Linked DNA regions of Elephas maximus indicus. The protein of the gene in region 2 binds, or shares a complex with, the protein of the main gene of each other region. Links are inferred from orthologs where the notes say so. Each region holds a gene or a part of one and is shown on either strand. Other genes may lie near its edges.

Region 1 (9,183 bases), on a different chromosome or scaffold from region 2:
GCATTTCTTGCTCCGCCACCACCTCAGGACCTTGCCTTTGGTGAGTATCTCCACCTCCCTCGTGAAGCCCAAGTGTTTCCAGGGCAGCTGCTCCAGGCACAGTGCCAGAGGGCAGGCCCTGAAGGGGAATTAGTCCTACCTACCTCTTGACACACTGTCAGAGGCTGTAATATTGGCTGTGAGACCCAGTTCTGCCCAACGAGACAAAAGCACTTGTTTGCTGGGGTCATCTGAGAAGCTACTCTATAGGGAGAGAAGAAGCCCTTGGGTTCCACGGCAGGTCCAGGCAGCCATCTTTTCTCATAAAAGGAGTGGCCAAGAATGAAGCAGACATTGCAGAATGCTGAGAGGAGGCAAGAAGAAAGAGGGTATTTGGTGAAATGGTTCACTGCTGCCAATACCCTTGGACTTCAATTTCTTCTATTGTTAAACTAATTATTTGAAACCTGTTATGGATTTAACCGTGTCCCCCCAAAATCTGTGTTGTAAATCTTAACCTCTATGCCTGTGGTTCTAATCCCATTTGGGAATGGGTTGTCTTTGTTATGTTAACGAGACAGGATTAGTGTAGGATGTATCTTGAGTCAATCTCTTTTGAGATACACAAGAGATTAAACAAGCAAGCTAGAAAGCAGAGATGGGGGAAGAGAGATGCCAAGCCACATGAAGCTGTCCAAGGAGCCAGGAAACAAGCCAAAGAGACAAGGACCTTCCCCTGAAGCCGGCACCTTGAATTCGTACTTCCAGCCTCCTAAACTGTGAGAAAATCAATTCTTGTTAAAGCCCCCCAGGTGTGGTATTTCTGTTATAGCGGCACTAGATAGCTAAGATAGAACTCAAGGCGGCCAAGCTAATATAGTTCCCTTTGGATAAAAATAAAAATCTCAACCACCTTTAATGTTATTTAAACCTTTGAAATAAATTTGCTGCCTAAAACAAAATGAAAGCATTGGCACATTTTCACGAGTGGCTGGACCACGCATGCTGTTTCTGCTCCCAGCCCTCGGGTAGTCCAGGGGCTTGGGTCTGGTCTTCACAGCCTTCGCCCGTGGGCCTTGGGCGGGGAGTTCCCACCTAAGCCACCCTCCTGCTGTAAGAGCATGGAGACATGGGAAGCCCCAGGGGGGACAGCGGCTGGAGCAGGGTCTCCATATGCACATGGCTTCCTTCCAGCCTCTACCACCCAGGGCCCTCCTCAAAGGAACGGGGCTTAGATGACCTTCTGCACTCTTGGACAGGGCAAGGTGAAGGAGAGAGAAACCGGTGCCACCCAGTCCCCGCTTCTTCAGGGGAGGAGGGGCGTGGAAAGGGGAAGGCCCTGCACACGTGCACCTTCCGTGCTGTGATGAGTGTCCTCAAGCAAGTCACCTGTCACCCCTCATGGGCGAGAACTGACCCCTTCTGGGAGGAGACAGAGGAGAGCCGTGACATGAAGGGCCAGGACACCCCGTCTCTGGTCCATGCTTGGCCATTGCTTCCTTTTTGGCCTCAGTAGTTTATCAAACCCAGGGGGAAGCACTGCTGCAGAGATTCCCCCCTGCTGGGCTGGGGTGAGGTTGAAGGAAGATGGACTCAGATTGGAGGAGTGGCCCTCACTGAGCAGAGCTGATGGCTGGGGCCCAGCATGGCACAGGCACATGCCCCAAGTCACACCACAGAGCCCCGATCTACTTTTCCTTCATCAGAGCACATGGGTTGCAGCGGCTCTGAGGAAGGCCCCAAGGCTGGCTGTCATATGCCAGGACATGTGTCACATCAGCTCCTGTGAAGCTGAGTAGAGGGCAGGTGGCAGGACTGAGCCCCAGGCATCAGCTGCCTCCCCTTTCAGGCCTGGGAGGGAGTCGATGGAGAATTTACTCTCAGTAGGCTACCCATGAAACACCACAGCTCAGCCCTTGTAACTGTTGTAAACAACCACTTGCCCTGCTCCACTGTGAGGCACTTCTAGAAGGTGGCTGGACTCAGATTCTGCCCCCATCCCCTTCACTGGTATGAGCCGGTGTTGTCACACTTTTGTGAGGGGTTGGTGAGTGAACCCAGGTCAAGTGCTTTGACAGTGACTGGCACCTAGCAAGAGCCAGTACCAGTCAGCTGTTTTTATTTTGTTAACATTACGAGAACACATTTAATGCAACATGCAGCCATGCTTCCTCCCACATGCCAAGGATCTTATTTGGAGAGCCCCTTCTCCGTAGCGTCGGTCACTTCAGGGTTCAGGAAGCGGCTTGCCAAGCGTTCAATGTCATCCATCGTCAGGCGGCTCAGGGACCTCTCGTACTCCTGAGGAGAGAAGGCCAGGAGGATTTGGGCTGGGGGGGGGGGGGCAGTCAGCAGAGGCTGGAGCAGGGGGCACTGGAGTGGCAGAGGAGGTTTGGGCTTATGGGGCTACATTCTCACCCGCTGGAGTTGTTCCTGGACCCTGTTGGCATCTGCTGAGCTGAAGTGTCGGCCCAGAACTTTGGCGATCAGCTGCCAAGTCTCTGAGGGTGGAGCTAGTGGTCGGGGCTGGACCTCTGCCTGCCTCCGAGCAGTGCCTTGGTCCAGTAACACCTTCTCCAGAGGCTTGACCACTAGGTTGAGCTTGGAATTGGGGCCAATGCTGTAATCTGAAAGTCGTTTTCCATCTGCCAAGGAGAAATTGATGAAGTTCATTACCTCCAGCTGCTGTAGTTGCCCAGGGAAGTGAGCCCAAGCAAGGGCACTGCAGTGTGTCTTGCTGCCGGTGTGTCGGCTCCCTCTGTGCGGGCAGCACTGATAGCCGCCTCGCTGTGGAGCGTCACACTGCCACCAGTCTCATTCTCGACACCCCACCCCCGCCTTCCTGCGGGGCTCCCTGGGCGTCTCCACTCCCCTGGTACCTGCCAGGGCTTTGCCCTTGAACAGCAGCCGCTGCTGGCGCACAGGGACGTTCAGTTGCTCGGAGACCAGAAGCTTCAGTGAGGACACCATCTCGTCCTCTGACACCTGAGCGGACCGAGTTTGGGAGGCAGGGGTTGAGCCTGCAGTTCGCTGGGCTGTGAAGCCCTCGCAGGCCCCTCCAGGACTCAGCTCTCCAGGCCTCCCCGCCCCGGCTGGCCGACCTGCCCTGTCCCCTCCCCGAGCCGGCGCCGCCCCTGGTCCCTTCCCGTCCCCGCGCCTGAAGGCGGTGAGTGCACGAGTGGGGCAGGGTGGACCGGGCCTGGCGACACTACCTGCAAGATGCACTCTCGGCCCTGGAGCGCCTTCACCGTCAGCTGCATGGCGGCGGCGGCGGCGGCGGCGGCGGCGGCGGCGGCGGCGGCGGCGGCAGTGTCCACTTCGACTGACGCGCACCCCAACGGCCCCCCGCCGCGCGCCACCGCCACCGCCCCGGGCGCGCGCCGGAACCGCCCTGTGCGCCCCACCCTAGCCCGCCCCCTCCGCGCTTGCCCCGCCCCCGGCCCTCACGCCCCGCCTCCCCTCCTCGCCCCGCCCCCTCCGGCCAGCGCGCCCCGCTCCACCCTCTGCCACTCCGGGAGGAGGAGTTCCTCTGGTGTCTGGCTTTGCCCACGCCCAGGGCCGGTCCAGACTGCCGGATCTCCGCCCTCCTCCTCCACCCCGCTACCGTGCGGGGAAGCTAGGCTGACGCCAGCCAGCCAGTACTGTATGCCAGGGTGGAAAAGGGGAATGAGTTGGCCAAGTTTGCTTCATCTGGGAGATGGGGCTTGGGAGAAGGAATGGCTGGGAGTAAGCTCGCCCCGTGGAACTTCAGGCCCTCCAGACGCTCCGACTGCTGGTGGAGTAGCTCAGTAGCAAACCTAGAGTCTGCCTCTCAGTGAGCCCAGCCAGGGAGGGGACAGGTGTCCACAAGTCCTGTCCACACTTGCTCCCCTGTCTGACGGTTTTGTCCCACCTTCCTTTTAGTCTGGCTGCAGAAAAACCAACTGCTGTGCTCAGAGCAGGCAGGGTAGCCCCGCTCTGCCCTCATCCCCCCTGGCGCTCATATTCTAGAGCAGAGAGAGGCCCACCTCTCACAGGATGGCATGAGGGTGGGGGGCTGACAGAAAAAGAGCCTGAAGCTCATAAACCACAGACCTGGACGAAGCCTCCTTTCCAACTCCCCCAAGCACACGTGGTGCAGGGTGTCACCCAAGTTGGCCCTCCACTCTTGCCCACACCTCCCCAGCCACACTCTTCTTACCTCACTCCCACCCCCAGGCCCCAAAGGGCAGAGACTGGAAGGGACCCAAACTTGCTTCTCTCTTTTATTGAAATATATTTCTGGGCAGTGCCCACCTACCTAACTCAGCATGGCCTCTTTGGCAATGAAAGCTGAAGAATACAAAATCAGTACAAAAAATAAGCCTGGATTTTCCAAGTGCATAGTGCATGAGCACTGAAGGCCTTTGGTACGCGAGAACTGCGGAGAGTGGGGAGGGGGGTAGAAGCTTGGCCCGGAGCCTCAGTGAACTGGGAACAGGCTGCTATAGATGAAGTGGCCCATGACCAAAGCCAGCATCTCTGAGGTGCCACTCAGTGCCACAATGAAGGGGGCCTGGGAGGCAAAGTCAGCTTGGAGGTGGCGGAAGGACAGCTGCAGCATGGCCAAGGCCAGCAGGCTGTTCTGCACCCCGACCTCAATGCTGACCGTTCGCCGCTGAGCCACAGGCAGCTTCAGACATGTGGCCAGGCAGTAGCCCACCAAAAGGCCCACCAGGGGCACTGTGAGGCCCACCAGCACGATGGGGAACCTGACGCCCGCCAGGATGAAGATGCCCATGCGGTAGGCCAGAAAGAGGCCACCCAGGAGGAGCACAAAGCTGAAGGGCTTGATGACCTGCAGCAGCAGCTGGGAGAACCTGGGGAGCTTGGACTTGATCACCACACCAGCTGCTATTGGAATGGCAATGAACAGCAGCGTCCCCAGGATCTTGGAGATGGGCACGTGAAGGGTTTCATGGATGCTGAGAAGGTGGCTGTAAATAGCTGAGGACAGTGGCAGGAAGCCAGTGGCAGCCACCGTGGAGATGAAAGTCATGGAAATGGCAAGGGTGACATCTCCTCCAAGGAGGAGGCTGAAGAGGTAGCTCCCGCCACCCCCGGGCGAAGAGCAGGTGATGATGAGGCCCAGGGCCAGGGCCTTGGGCAGCATGAAGACCTTGGCCATCAGGAATGCATAGAAGGGCATGACCAGGAACTGACCCAGGAGGCCCAGCAGCATGGGCTGGGGGCTGTGCAGGAACCCCTTCAGAACCTCGAGCTCCACTTTGCACCCGAACGAACACTTGTTGACGAAAATGAGAGGCAGGAGCAGGTAGAGTATTGGGTTCTCTGAGAAGTGGGCCAGGTCAGCACTGAGGGTGGCTGGCGCGTCTTCAGCAGGCAAGACCTTGATGGAGAAATCACTCCGTTCCTCGATCAGCAGGGGCTGGGCCTTATGCAGGTCCATGAGCTGCAGGTGGAGGGGTGCCAGCCCTGCCAGGCCAGAGTGGATGCTCACCACAAAGCCACCCCCACCACCCCAGCTTACGGCACTCACGTTCTTGATGGTCAGCACCGCTGTGTCCAGGGAGGTGACCCTGAGCGTGGGGCCAAGCCTAGTCCCATTGCTCTGAGCCGGGTACTGGCTTGAGATCACGATGATGCCTTCACTCTCCTCGGGGAACTCAAACTCCATCACTGAGCCGTCCCCAATGCTCAGGTAGTGGGCCCTCATCAGTGGTACAGTGTGGCCCAGAGCTGTGCTGAGGTTGCCACTGGCTGTTCCTCGGACTCTCCATGGCAGGCTGGCAAGAAGCAAGGCAGCCTGAAGCATACTGAGGGGGCCTGGGCAGCCACCCACCCTGCCCAGGCCAGGCCTCTCTAACACCATGGCTTCTCCTGAAGGACCATGCACCAGGGTTCTCTGCAGCTTAGGAGGGCTCCCCAGCCTGTACCGTCGGCTGGTCCTGAGAACAGTCCATGGGCAAGTCCAGGTACTGGGCTGCTTTCCTGGATGGCAGAGCTCTCCCTGAGGAGAGAAAGGACACAGAGAGGAGGCTGGTGACGGACAGCAGCATGAGCCTGTGAGACTTGGCCCTCTGGGAGTGGTAGCATAGGGATCTGGAAGCCTTAGCAGAGCCTCTTGCGTCAAGCCCAGGAACAGAAGGGCAATGCTTGATGCTGGCCCTTAAGTGCCATTCGGCTGTCCCCTCCCCCAACACAGCTGCCTCAAGTTTCCCACATGCTAGTGTGGCCCCCCATCCCTTGCCCAGAGGGTCCAGCTACAGATATGAGTTACTGTCAGCCGCTGATAACTACTAATTTCCCTGGACATGCCCTCTCTGCCCCTCCAGGGGCAGCGTAGAGATGCCCCGATTCCAGTGGGTTCGAGGAGAGCCACCCCCAGGCCTGTCACCACTAGCACCACATACAAGGCCTGTTTAATCCCCATGGGCTCCGAAACACAGTGACAGTGGGCTTGCTGTGATACCACAACTGGATGTGATCCCGAAACACTGCTTGGGGATGACCAGGAGGCCCGCCTGAGGAGAGCAAAGGGTGCTGACTGAGCCTGATCTGGGAGCGCTTGAGAACAGGCCAGGGAGTTGGAGTGCCTCAGGCTAGGCACAGAGGCCAGCAGAACAGTGTGGGCAGGTGGAAGGCCCCAGAGGCTTTTGTCTGCCACCAGTGCTCTGTTGGGAAAGGGGCTGGCATGACTACCTGGCCTGCCCTGCCTGCTGGCAGTGGTGAGAAGGGAGTCCTGAGGAGGAGCAGGTCCCCTTCCCCCAAGGAACTTGCTGGAAGAAGCAGCAGGAAGGGGTCAAATAGGGTCACATGTCTGCTGAGGAGCTTCCCCTCCTCTGGACAGAGCTCCTACTCCTCTGGCAGTCTCCAAATATGGCTACTGGAGTCGCAACCTCATATTTGGAAAGCTGTGCTCGGAGGCTAGTCTCCCACCCCCACATGTGCCCCCACCAGCATCTCTCACTACCAGTGTGTCTGTGAGTGCACTGGGGTGAAGGGTGCCTCATGGTGAATATTGTTGCATCACCTGCTACAACTGGGGCAACACAGCAGTTTTGCATCGCTACTTCTGGTTGCTTCACACCTTGGCAGAGCCACTGGCTTCTCTAGTTCCTAGTAGTGTTTGGCCCTTGCTTCCCCTTCCTCACCCCCCCACCCCACCAGTCTGGGTACAGAGGGAAGTGGAGGGCAGCTTAGGCAAAAGACTGGTCCTTGGAAAAGCGTCCCCCAGGATGACATGGGCTCTGCTGGTTTGGGAGCTTCAGGCACTTACCCTGGAGGCCTTGGTCCAGCCTTGCGTCCCACCAGAAAAGAGGGATGCAGGAACACAGAGATGGGGGCATGAGAAGGAAACTGGAGGGATTTAGAGGAAAAAGATAAAGGCTCCCAGGCCCCCGTCTTCCCAATACACCAATACAGCTACCAGCTTTAAGTCACCGCAACAGAGGTTCAGCTCAGACCCTAAACCATTTCTGCTGCAGGGCCGGAAGAGTTTGACCAGAATGCACCCCAGGGCGGGGTATGGATCTCGACCCCGGACGGCTTTGTCCACACGGGTTTTCAGTGTTGAGGGCTAGTTGGCAGTGATGGTCTCAGGGCTCCTCCCTACCTGGAAGTCCGGAAGTTGTCTCATTTTCCATGAGCAGAGCTGCTTCTCACTCGTGGGCGCAAACCAGGGAGGGAAGGAGCGCGCGGCCGTCCCGCAGCCGGCAGGTTGGGGGCCTCCCGGGTGGCCCCGAGGGCAAAGGAAACCTCGCCTGACCCCCAGGACGCACGGCCACGCCAGGCCTAGCGAATGCGCGGCGTCCGGTCCTTCCCCGCCGGCCCCTGGCGCTGGAGCCAGCGCGCAACCGGGCTGGGCCAGAGGCCACAGGCCACCTCCTGCCCGACCCTTCCCGGCCTGAGGCTCTCACCTGCCGCGCCCGCGGAGCTCGACGCCAGCGCCTGCCCAGCCAGCCGGACGCCTGCGAGCTCGGCCCGCCAGGGCCCCGCCCACGGCCCCGCCCCAACCGACCCCGCCCACCAGGGCCACGCCCCGCGCGGCTCCTGGCCACGCCCACCTCACGGCCCACCGTTCACCGTTCGCTTCCGGGTTGGGTTTCCACCGGATGTGACGTTTTGGGGAGTGGCGCGGCGGCCCGCGATGAAGAGCGGGCTTTCGGGCCCAGGACTGGCGGGCGGTACTGGCGGCTTGCCATGTTGTCACCTGGTGGCGCCGGGCGCGGCCTCCTTCGGCCCCCGGACCGTGTGTCTGAACCTTTTCTGGGCGCCGCCAGGGGCACTTGCTCCGGGAAGGGGTCCCGGTCATTTTCAAGCACTCTGCGGCTTCTGGGGGTGGTGGGACACGGGGTTAGACGTTAGCAAGGCTCGGCAGACTCGGGGACTGCTGCCAAGGGCACGGAGAGGCGGTCGCGGAGGGCCCGGGCTTCAGGGTGCCCAGCCTTTGTGCGGAGTTCCGCTTCATTCGTTCAAGTATTGACCGAGCGCCTATTCCCACATTGTGGGTCATTAAATGGACTCCCAGGAATTGTTCACCTTCGAAACCATTTGGTACGACCAGCAAGGTCCAGAGGCTTCAGTGAAAAGGAGTGGAAGAAACAGATGGCATAAGGATGGGGAAAAAGGTAGTGAGAGGGTGTACAGAAGCTGCCGGGAGACAGTAAACAAGTCAGAGTCAAAGGGGATTTGTATGTTCCCAAAGGCTGCCAGGGCAACTTGAATCAGCCTGCACACGAATGAACAAGCTACACTGCTCTGATGGAGCCTCTCGTAACTGCTATGATGGAGGCTAACGGTCCCCAAAGTCGGTGACGCTTAGCTCCAGGAGGTACACAAGACACACCATTGTAAATGTTCAAAGAAAACAGAGTTTTCATTTAATCTGTAAACATTTACTTTGTGTGAATTATAAAATTAAACTTAGTACCGCCTATAATACATAAACACATGGGCACACACTGGGGGTGCATGCTCAAAAAGATTTGACTTATATGGGTGATCAAAAACATTCAGAGGCTGTTCTTTAGGCTCTGAGAACCAGTAAGGCGTGAACCATTTGTGTGCAGTTGTCCTGGAACGTTCGTACTGTTCCTTACAAATGTGGCTGAGGGCTGCCAGAAGCAGGTAGTACTTAGAGCTGGGGCAGGTGAGAGGGCTGAGTTAGGCACATCCTGTGGCTGAAGACTGCAGTTTGGAAGGTGGGCAGTGGGATGGGGGCTG
Region 2 (10,109 bases):
ACACCAAACACAGAGACTATCAGGTGGGAACCCACCTCAGAACAAAGCACCAGCGCCACCTGAGATGCCATGCCTCTAAACCTTCAGTCACACGCTTGAGGGCTTCTGTGCAAACCAAATCTTTGCAAATAAATTACACCCTATATGCACAAAACGCTTCCTATTAAAACAAACCCTACGTGGAATCAATGAGTCAATAACCAGTGATCTCCCTTACTTCATAAACTCCCTAAACAACTTACTCAGGAAAAGAAGGATTAGTGCCACCTTCCTTGGAAGGAAAAAAGAATTTACTGCCTTAAACGTTTACGAGAAAATCATTTCACTGCAGACAATGTGTTTTTCTTTTTTTTTGAGGGGGGGCGGTGGGGAACTGGTGGTTATCTATATTCCAGCCTCTTCTGTTCAGGGAGTTCTGGGGTGAAGAGGTGGGAGGACTTACATTGTTGTTATAGTCCGTGGTGGCAGCAGCACCCAGAACCTCATAATAGCGCTGCAGGAAGGGCTGGAGGCGGCTCTCCAGCCGCTGCAGTTCCTGGAGCACCTCCACGTACTCCGCAGGGGAAGGATGGCTGCAGGCAACCCCAAGAGGCAGTGAGCCAAGGCTTTCCTCAGGCTCCCAACTTCACAGTTAATAGGGACCACACGTGCCCCGTCTCTCCCTGGCCTCCCAAACCTCTGGCCCAATCTCTTCCTGGACTAACAGTGCTTCTGTGCTTTGGCCCCACCTGGAGAAGACTGGGAGAGGAAAAAGAACTGCGCCCACCCTCCCCACTGCACACTCTTGTACCTTCAAGGGTAAGAAACTAACTGAAAAGCAGAGATAAGGCCATGTGAACTGGGGGGAGAGTTTAGAACAGGCTCAGGTGGCACCATTAGGATTTCCTTGCCCCAGGGACAGCAGTGCCTCTGCTCAGCTGCCAGTCTCATCCCTTTTACCTACAACCAGAATGCCCCCTGCCCCTCACAGCTGATCTCACAAGCAATATCTCCAAGCAATCCTTCCCTCCCATCACACCTTAGTTCCCATATTTCATTTAGGACCCCTGCTGGGTGCCCTCTCTCACTTGGGTGCATTTGTCTCTGGGGCAGGTGTTGGCCCCGCAGGGGCTGGACCAGAAGGGGTGAGCTCTGGGCTCTGAGCTGGGGCACGCTCCTCTACTTCTTCTGCCTCCATAGGCTCCCGAGGAGGGGCTTCGCTTTCGGCGGGTTCTGATGTTTGAGAGCTCAAGGCTACTGGCTCCGGGGTGGCAGTCGGCGTCTGTGGGGGCGGCTGACTGTGCTGGGCTTGGGGCCCCCCTCGACACTGAAGGTGGAGGAGAGTCAGGACACCAAAGGCAGGATGAGACTACTGCAGAGCATTACTCGGGTCAAAAGAGACTGAGCAGAGAACATGCTCTAACTAGGTTTTTTGGAGGCAAAGCTTTGTGTCTACATTTTTGACTCCCCAGGAACTAGTAAAAGACACAAATCAGGAGCATAATAAATATTTATAAGATTCGTAAATAAGCTACTAACAAAAAGTACAGACTAGTTTTTGTATCTCCAGGACAAAAGAAGAACAGGCGACAAATTACAGCTGCAATTCAAACTAACGGAGTTAAAACGTTCTGATGTTAAAAGTAATAAATAAACTAAAATAGGCGGAACCTTTTTTTAATGGAACAAACAGAGACCGTCAGAATTATCTAAAAAGTCTGAAACAAACTCCCCAGATATTAGATGCCAAGAAGACTAGCAGGGACAAGATAGCCCCACAAAGATACTTTTTCTGCTTGAAAGAATGAAGACTGCAAAAAAGAGACCAGATTAGGGAAGCAGTGGATATAGCCAGTCATGCCCCCATCCCCAGGATGACAGAAAGAGGATGCACAGAGAGAGACAGACACACACTAGCCAGCCCTGCCTGCTTACCTCCATCCGGGATAGCAAAGTCTGTATATCCCTGATCATGTGCTGAGCCATCACCAGCCGTACCCGGGGCTCACTCTATGGCAAGAGAAGGGATGATCAGGGCAGGTCTGAGATGAAGCCATGAGCTCCACCGCCTACTAAACGAGGTCCCAGCCATCTCCACCCCACCTCAAGGCCTCCTTCTCCCAGATCCCCTTCCCTGACCCTCCCAGGCCCCGTGATACCTGAATCGGGGCCTGTTCCATGTTGATGTGAACATCCACAGCAGAGCCGTCACTCTGGGGAAAGGGTAAGTGAAGTTGCTCTGGGAGAAGCCAAATACTAAGGCCCCCATACTTTCAACTCATTCTCTGGAGCCCCGCCCCCTTTCCCTTCAAAGATTGAGGCCAATATCAGACCAAAGGAGCCTCCAAACTCAATCTATAGACTAAGACGCCTGTCTTACAAGCGCCCTGCTACTACCACAACCAAATCTACCCTTACCCAAAAAAACCCTCCCAAGTGGAACACAAGCTTACAGGAAGATTGAAGGTTCCAACCATGACATAGCTGTTCGCATTCCGGTCATGAACAGAGGCCCCAGGACCCCGAGTACCAGGTGGGGGTCCCCCACCATGGGTAGCAGAGGGAGACCCTGTCCCAGAAGATGCCCCAGAAGAAGGGAGTTGAGTCTGAGGAGGAGCCCGTTCCACCAGATGGATAACCTTTCCTCCAACATCTGTGGTGCAAAAAGATAGACACACACCAAAACATCAGGTAAAGCCATAATGTCAGCACATCACTCTGCACACCAGCTTCAACCTCTGAGTTGCCATCCCCCACCCCCTTACTGTATTCCTGGAGCTTCTTATCATCCTGCAGAACACGGCCCTGGTAGATGAGCCTTTGTTTCTCAGAGGGGATGCTGACAGAGGCAGCAATGTGTTCCTTAAACTCCTTTACATTCATCTGCAAGGAGGAAAAGATAAGAATAGGAATCAGGAAATGGAGGGAGGAAGAAGGAACAGAGGAGTGACAACTGACTCATGCCCAGATAAGGAGCAAAAACCGTAATAAAATCACTACCTATGTTGACTGTGAGATAGTTACCATGCAAATTTCTGAGAACAGATACAGACAAAATATATCAAGACACAGACAACAAACTCAGATAAGCTCAGGTTATATGCCCAGAAAAGAATTACATAGCTGAAAAACAGAAAAACCAACTGACATTCCTTTCTCTCTTTTTATGCTTGACTCCCAAGGGAACGTGTGTCTCAAGATGCCAGAGGGGATCACCCTTCCCGAAACACAAAATGATACCAGAAGTTTCTTTACCACAGACAACCCTGTAATCTCAAAAATAAGAGAAATGACAAAGAAGATGGGTGAAGGTTAAGAAGGGAAGATCCAACCAAGAAGTAAGCAAGAAGGAAACAAAAAACAAAACATTTTTCATAACTAAACAACTCTAGGAAACACCAAAATGTTTACGTGACATCTAACCTCAAAAATCTACGTGGTTTTCTTAAATACTCATGGAGTACAATGTTTTAAACACCCATGAACCAACTCAGTCACAATTTTGTCTCCAAGTATCACCGGAGTAAAAACACAGGTAGCTGTATCCGTGATATTAAACTCAAGAAATTAAAAGTATGCCACATTCATAATTCCACCCAGCAGTCTATATGAGCTCTACATTCATTATTAGCTCTGATTTCTAGCCTTAAAGACACGGTATACACCTGGCCAATTTTTGTTCTTAAAGCACACTTCTGTTTTGGGTCCGTGTGTTGTTTGAGCTATGGCTGCCCCTTTGGGCTGACGATCACCTACAATGATGGGATACAGATGGCCCCTTCCTCTGTATTTCCCTCTGCAATGAGTTCTAAAGAAAAAGAGTAAGGCAGAAAATGTGCCTCACTCATCAGAAACTCTACCTTCTCATTCAACGAGAAACACCAGAAACGTTTTGTATAAAATACCAACAAACAAATCAATGTCAGAAAATTTGGGGGACGAGAAAATCAGGTTCTTCCCTCAGGCTAAGGAGCCTATAAGAAAAAGCTAATCAATGTCTTCCAACAGCAACAGGGTCTCACCTGGGCCCCCACAATAAAGGTCCGAGTCTGAGAGTCCAAGGTCTTCACCAGCACCTCCAGGCTGTCAGGCTCCTCCATAGTGGTGCTGGTACTATCATTGGGTTCCATGGCCGACAGTTCTCTAGGGAAGAATGGAGGGAGATCCGCTGTAGCCTGGAGCAGATTTTATATACCCGGAAGCCTCCCCAGCCTGAGTCCCCGCCCCAATATCTAAAAAGTTTCTCCCACACAAGCACTCGCACTCACACCCGCCCCCATCCCCCTTCCGATTCCGGGGCAGAGAAACACAAAGGGCAAGGGATCGACGGCAAAGGGAGCTGGAGGACGGGAGGTGGGAGGGGCTCCAAGACGCCAATCACAATAACGAGGGCCAGTCGGATTAGAAAGCAGGGGAGGAAGCACGAGACCAGTGTCATCACCGGTCGCAATAGGACAAGGGCCCTAGGGATCGGCAAACCCTGGGACACTGCGAGAGCGGGGGTCGCGCCAGACACTGCGGAGAAAATAGCTTCGCGCACGCGCGCCACGCCCATCGAACCCGCCTAAGTCACGACAGACGGCAGACACTCACGGGGGGCGGGACCGGCTAGCTGATAGCCCCCCGTCTTCCGCCTTCCCTCGGCGATCCAGCAGAGCGGCACAATCGACATACAGCCAAACACACATACAAACACACACACACTCTCACATACACACTTCCCCGCAGCTCCACCCCCGACTTCTCCAAGGTACCGTCACTTCCGGTCTTCCCAACCTGCCACCGACGGCCACTTCCGTTTCCCCGATAGTATTTGGGGATCGCAAGGCGGTACTTCCGGCTCCCCCCAGGTCCCCAAACTTTCCTTTTGTGGGGCACGACGAGAAAGTCCGCGGCCCCCAACGGAATGGATCCCTGGGGGCGAGACGGGCCGGGGGCGGCCTAGATGGGAAGGAGCCGAGCACCCCGAGGATCCGCCACGGCCGTCGCCCGGGGGACCGTACTGCGCCTGCGTGAGTTGCAGTACGCATGCGTACGTCCTTAAGCACGTCCCCACCCCCCGCTTCTCATGTTCGTGCGTTTGAGCGATCAAAGGTTGAGGTGGCCACGATAAATGCCTGAAAATAAATTACTATCTGGAACTGTACGACTGCCTGGAGAGACGCTTTGGACTGTTGCATGGCTCTTGAAGTTTGAGTATTTGAGACTATGCCTCATTTAATCTATTTTAAAGTCCTGGCAGGCAGAGAATTTCAGGCGGCACTGCTCTGGCCACCTAAAACCCTGCCTTCCAGTCAGTGTAGACCTCGCTGCGCCCTTCGGCGCCTCAGCAAGTTACCTTTCCGCAGGCGGTTGGTGGCGACTCGCGTATTGTCCGTTCTGTTGCGTGAGGTCCTATCGTTCGTCGGTCCTCAGTTCTATCCGGTGGGCATTTTGTGGGGTCCGGGCGCCATGTTCCTTACCGTGGGCTTCGCGGCCGAGGGGACACGCCATCCTTTCGGAAAGTTAAGGATGCTGCCCTACCTTTCGGGAATTTTGTCAAGAAACCCGTCCAAGTTTGGGAATTGTGGCAAATGGAGTCAGATGGGACCGAAAGACGAAACTCTGACCCAAACGGTTTTGGCAGGCCAGGGCTGCCTGAGTTATTGCTCCTCTCTGCCCTTCCCCCAAGGGCAGGGTCTTCGGCCCTGCGACGGTACGACCCGTCCAGCTAAACCCCTTGTTGCTGAGATGCCTGCCTCAGGGGGTGCTTTTCCAAAATTTATAGTTTTTACATACCCAAGTCCCAAATGAAGAGGTCTAATAAGATCTGTCTAGTGAGCACTTAGTGTCAAGCAATATACTAAAATTTCACGTACTGTGGTCACAGTAAATTTTTCGTCTGAGATATTACATCTGTTTTATAGGTGAGTACACCTAGGCGAACATAAGTGGCAGAACTGACAATCAGTCCTAGGCCTGCCAGACTCCGGCTCCAGCACTTACACTTTGCTACCCCAATAAATTGTATTTTTTTTTTTTTTTTTACTATAAAAAGTTTCAAACATACCCAAGTAGAATAGTATAATGAACACTCATATACCCATCACCCAGATTATTTTTTGTTTCTTTTTTTTTAACTAAATCACAATCCCACAGCAACCCTCATTGCTGAGGACAATTTTTTTTTTTTTTGCAGTCTGCGTGTTATAGAGAAGCCCCACCTCTCATTGCATTAACTCTGCACCACCCACTTGGCACTATTTAATTACTACTTCTTGCAGACATTACCATTAATTATGGTTAGTAATTTACTTTGAGCTTACCACATGCCGGCGTTTGCTGGTCTTTATGTATATCATCTCATTTAACCCTATGAAATTCATATGTGCCCATTTTACAGATGAAGAAACAGGCACAGAGATTAATAAAATTGCTCAAGGTCTAATAACTAGAGTTGGGGGTTGAACCCAGGTCCTCCTAACACCAAAGTCTTTTCTCTTACCCGTTAGATTATATAGCCTCTTGCTTAGCAATAAAGGTCAGTGAATGAACCCATTTTGTCAGCAAACTTTTACAAAGATACAGTTTCCCCAATTACAAATTCCTGCAGAGAGAAAGTCTCCCACCCATCCCACCCCAGTACCTGGTTCATACCTGCTCTAAAGCACTTATCAGGTTGTATTGCAATGATTTGTTTGTACAGCTGGTTTTCCCCAGACTTCTTCAAGGCCAGGGACTATGTCTTATCCATCCTTATGTCCCCAGGGCTTAGCCAGTTCCTGGCAAACAAATGGGACTCAAAACAGGTTGCTAAGTGAAGGAATGAAAGCAACCCCACTTCACTGCTGCACAACATAGCAGATATCCAGCTCAGATGCGGATTGAAAACCCAAGCTCTCATAACTCCCGAGAGACCCTGAACATACCAGGGTATACTGTGGAGTGGCTGCATCTAGAGGAGGGGGAGGAAGGTCCAAATCCAGACTTGGGTTGGAAAACAAGGTTGAAGTTACTCATTAGCAGGTGAAAGGGTCAAGGGTCAAGGCAAGGGGGCTGGGAGTAGAGTAGACTGAGCAGCCAGCAGGGGAGAGAGCAGTTAAGGCACCAGCCACCCCACACAGGGCATCGGCTCCCTCCTGCCTGAAGATGTTCCACCAAATTTGGGCAGCTCTGCTCTACCTCTATGGAATTCTCCTTAACTCCATCTACCAGTGCCCTGAGCACAGTCAACTGACAACTCTAGGAATGGATGGGAAAGAGGTACAGACTGGGAATGAGGGAAGCCTATGATAGAGGCTCTCAGGGACTCAGCTGGGTGGCCTAGGATGACTAGAAGCCATGTTGGGAAAGGAGAGTAGGAAGAGGGTATAAATGTTGGGATGATGAAAGCAAGAATAAGAAAAATACTAGGACTGTAGTCATCGATGTGGAGACATGGCAGAATTGGGAGTGGGCTTGGTTAGCCAGGTTGATTGGGGAGGAGCAAAGGGGAAATGTCATTGATGACTCTGTGTGATAGATCCATTACCCAATTAGAAAGAGGAAAACAGCCCACACCCTACCCCTAAGTCTTCTCCTACTGGCTGATGAAGAGGTTGAATGGATCCTGTTATGGGACCCACCCTCTTTTGCTCCCCTCATTGTCTCTCCAGTTCCCAGAGCCCCACCTTGGCCGGTGGTACTTTATCGCAGGGGCAGCTCCCACCAGGGAAGAATTGGCAACTTTTGACCCTGTGGACAACATTGTCTTCAACATGGCTGCTGCCTCTACCCCGATACAGCTCCAGCTTCATGCTACCATCCGAACGTGAGTGATGAGGAGGCAGAGGCACCAGTGGGTGCAGTCTCTGACCAAAGTGTGAGCACCCACCACCAAGAGCTGTGCTCTTGGCTGATACATTCACTGTTCTTGGCCCACTTGGTTCAAAAGCTGTATTAGTTTCCCTCTGACAGAGAGAGATGGACCTAACCATCCCTTGGTAGCCTGAAACCCAAGGAGATCCAGGCTTCAAGGAGGAATAAGATGGAATAAATGGAGGCAGATGCTGTGTGGCCGGGGTGTCACTCGGTTTCTCCTCCATGCCACTACCACCTATGCAGGAAAAATGGGCTCTGTGTGCCCCGGAAATGGACCTACCACCTGACTGAGGAAAGCACTCATCTCAGAACTGAAGGTTGGTTCCCCAAGTCCCCTGACCCTCCCCAAGTCCCCTAGGCTTGCTTGGTTTTGCATCTCTCTCCTCGCCCCCTCCTCCCACCCACCCTCACAGGCCGTCCTGACATGAAAACCGAGCTCTTCTCCAGTTCATGCCCAGGTGGAATCATGCTGAAAGAGATGGGCCAGGGCTACCAGCGCTTCCTCCTCTATAGTGAGTGGGGTGCAAAGCAGGAAGGATCAGAGAGGGCAGGAGGGCCCCTCACTCTGGGCCCTATGATATGACTCCAGGGAGGGTTGAGTGCTTCCATGAGGCCCTCACCAGGGGCTGTGCTGAGGAGCAGGGGCTCAACTAGCCTGACCCTGCTCTGCCCTTCTAGATCGCTCACCACACCCTCCCGAGAAATGTGTGGAGGAATTCCAGTCCCTGACCTCCTGCATGGATTCCAAGGCTTTCTTACTGATGCCCAGGGATCAAGGTGAGGGGTTAAAGTCCTAAAGTAGAGGACTAGGACTGAGCAAGTCTTCTGGGAGTGCTGGATGAAAGGGGCTCATGTGACATCATAGGACGACATGGCCAAAGCTGACATCATCAGAATGGCTATGTTGACACTCCCATTTGTGTCATAGGCTATGATGGCACCAGAGGCAGGTGGCCAAGGGCTGTGATGTCACTTGAGGAACCCAGGCTGGACTCTGGGCTACTCAAAAGAGGGGTTTCTGAGTTTGCATGGGTAAAGGGTCAGTCATGGAGGGAAAAAGTCCTCAGAGATCCTTTTTTGGAAAAAAGGAACATGGCGGAATAAAGGAACGCATTCTTCCCTTCTTCATTACCACCAATTTTGCTTCTCTCCCTGTTCTTCCTTTCCATCTTTTTTTTTTTCCTCCCTCCTGCCAGAGGCCTGTGAGCTGTCCAATAACTGACCTGTGGCTTCATCTGTGCCCCCAGACGGATACTGTGGGAGCTGTGATGGTGGTGGGTGGGAGGAGACTAGCTAGAGACTTCCAACTCCCTTTCGAGAATAATAAAGATGATTTTCCAGTCCTCATTCTGGGGTTTGTCTCCAGATATCAATCCTACTCTGCACATTTCAACACTCCCACTAAACCCCCAGCTGGACGACGTCAGGAAGGACACTGAGTGGTGGTAACTCTCACTTTGTAGTGGTATATTTAGGATTTGGTGTGACACAATTTATTGCTGAGTGAGCAAACTCCTAACTAAAGTGGAACTGCAAACTCCAGTGTCTCCCCTATGCTGCCTGTCTGACCTGCCTGCACCACCCCTGCTCCTTCCGTACCCCGTGAAGATTCCTGCAGGCTCCCTATCCCCTGTGGGCCCCTATCCAGATGCTCCAATCCACCTGCCGAGCAGCCTGCTCTTCCAAGATGGCTGAGATCCCTGGATGCAGGAGATCCCTTGACCATCCTCTTACCTCAGGGGTCTGTCTGTCCTACTTCTGGTCTCCTCCACCCTTGGGGAGTTATGAAAGATAGAAAAAACCCTTTAGTATTTATCCCGCCCTCTCCCCCCCCCCCTTTTTTTTTAAATGGAACTGAGAGAAATGTAAAAGTAAAAAGTTACAACAGCTGGTGAATCCAAGGGCGATGCCCCACCATCCATAAACACAGAAACCCTAAAGCTGCTCTGTTCTCTCCTGTGTGTGAAGAGGGCTCTGTGCCCTCATGCCTTGGGTTTTCTTCCCCATCCCTGAGGTTCCTATGTTCCCGATCTGGGTCATGCCCCCTACTCTCTTCCTGAAGGCCACACCATCTTCACTACTTGCCCCCATCTCACTGAGGGTGGGGTCCTGGGTCACACCCCACCCCATGGTCACAGCCCCTTTCCCGGATCTCCCCTCTGCTCCTCGCCCTCCTTCCCCAACCTCTCACCCTCCCAGTCAGTGCCCTCCTCATCCCTGCTGGGCTCCTGGAGACTGACAGCCAGCACCAGGGCCTGCAGGAGGCCAAAGAGGCAGGCAAAGTGCAGGGG

Evidence for each region.
Region 1: the proteins of BAG6 (region 2) and UBL4A are in contact, whole or in part, in a crystal structure (PDB 4X86), measured with the Homo sapiens proteins. The link is inferred for Elephas maximus indicus from reciprocal best matches to the Homo sapiens genes BAG6 and UBL4A. Residues at the interface, in NP_001092004.1 of Homo sapiens: Gly1052, Pro1053, Leu1055, Leu1057, Ala1060, Val1061, Ala1064, Ala1065, Ala1067, Ala1068, Ala1070, Arg1071, Pro1072, Leu1073, Thr1074, Ser1078, Leu1079, Asp1082, Leu1083, Glu1087, Val1088, Ser1091, Tyr1092, Gln1095, Leu1096, Asp1099, Ile1100, Arg1103, Leu1104; in NP_055050.1 of Homo sapiens: Val95, Leu98, Ile99, Val102, Leu103, Arg105, His106, Phe107, Ser108, Asp111, Arg114, Val115, Gln118, Leu119, Asp122, Tyr123, Glu124, Ser126, Leu127, Ser128, Leu130, Ile135, Leu138, Arg141, Phe142.

The regions. Positions count from the first base shown.
Region 1 is NC_064846.1:1,933,755-1,942,937, reverse strand, and holds UBL4A (ubiquitin-like protein 4A), read right to left. Parts: upstream 3,333-9,183; 5' UTR 3,240-3,332; coding exon 3,192-3,239; intron 2,965-3,191; coding exon 2,859-2,964; intron 2,625-2,858; coding exon 2,398-2,624; intron 2,281-2,397; coding exon 2,170-2,280; 3' UTR 2,031-2,169; downstream 1-2,030. Other genes in the region: SLC10A3 (P3 protein), read right to left, coding at 4,421-5,968, 7,238-7,317, 7,574-7,604. UniProt on the Homo sapiens protein: As part of a cytosolic protein quality control complex, the BAG6/BAT3 complex, maintains misfolded and hydrophobic patches-containing proteins in a soluble state and participates in their proper delivery to the endoplasmic reticulum or alternatively can promote their sorting to the proteasome where they undergo degradation.
Region 2 is NC_064819.1:93,180,954-93,191,062, forward strand, and holds the start of BAG6 (large proline-rich protein BAG6), read right to left. Parts: upstream 4,688-10,109; 5' UTR 4,668-4,687; coding exon 4,573-4,667; intron 4,123-4,572; coding exon 4,002-4,122; intron 2,863-4,001; coding exon 2,745-2,862; intron 2,633-2,744; coding exon 2,433-2,632; intron 2,193-2,432; coding exon 2,139-2,192; intron 1,990-2,138; coding exon 1,915-1,989; intron 1,307-1,914; coding exon 1,068-1,306; intron 573-1,067; coding exon 443-572; intron 1-442. Other genes in the region: APOM (apolipoprotein M), read left to right, coding at 7,108-7,221, 7,614-7,768, 8,062-8,135, 8,232-8,330, 8,497-8,595, 9,015-9,040; C1H6orf47 (uncharacterized protein C6orf47 homolog), read right to left, coding at 9,951-10,109. UniProt on the Homo sapiens protein: ATP-independent molecular chaperone preventing the aggregation of misfolded and hydrophobic patches-containing proteins.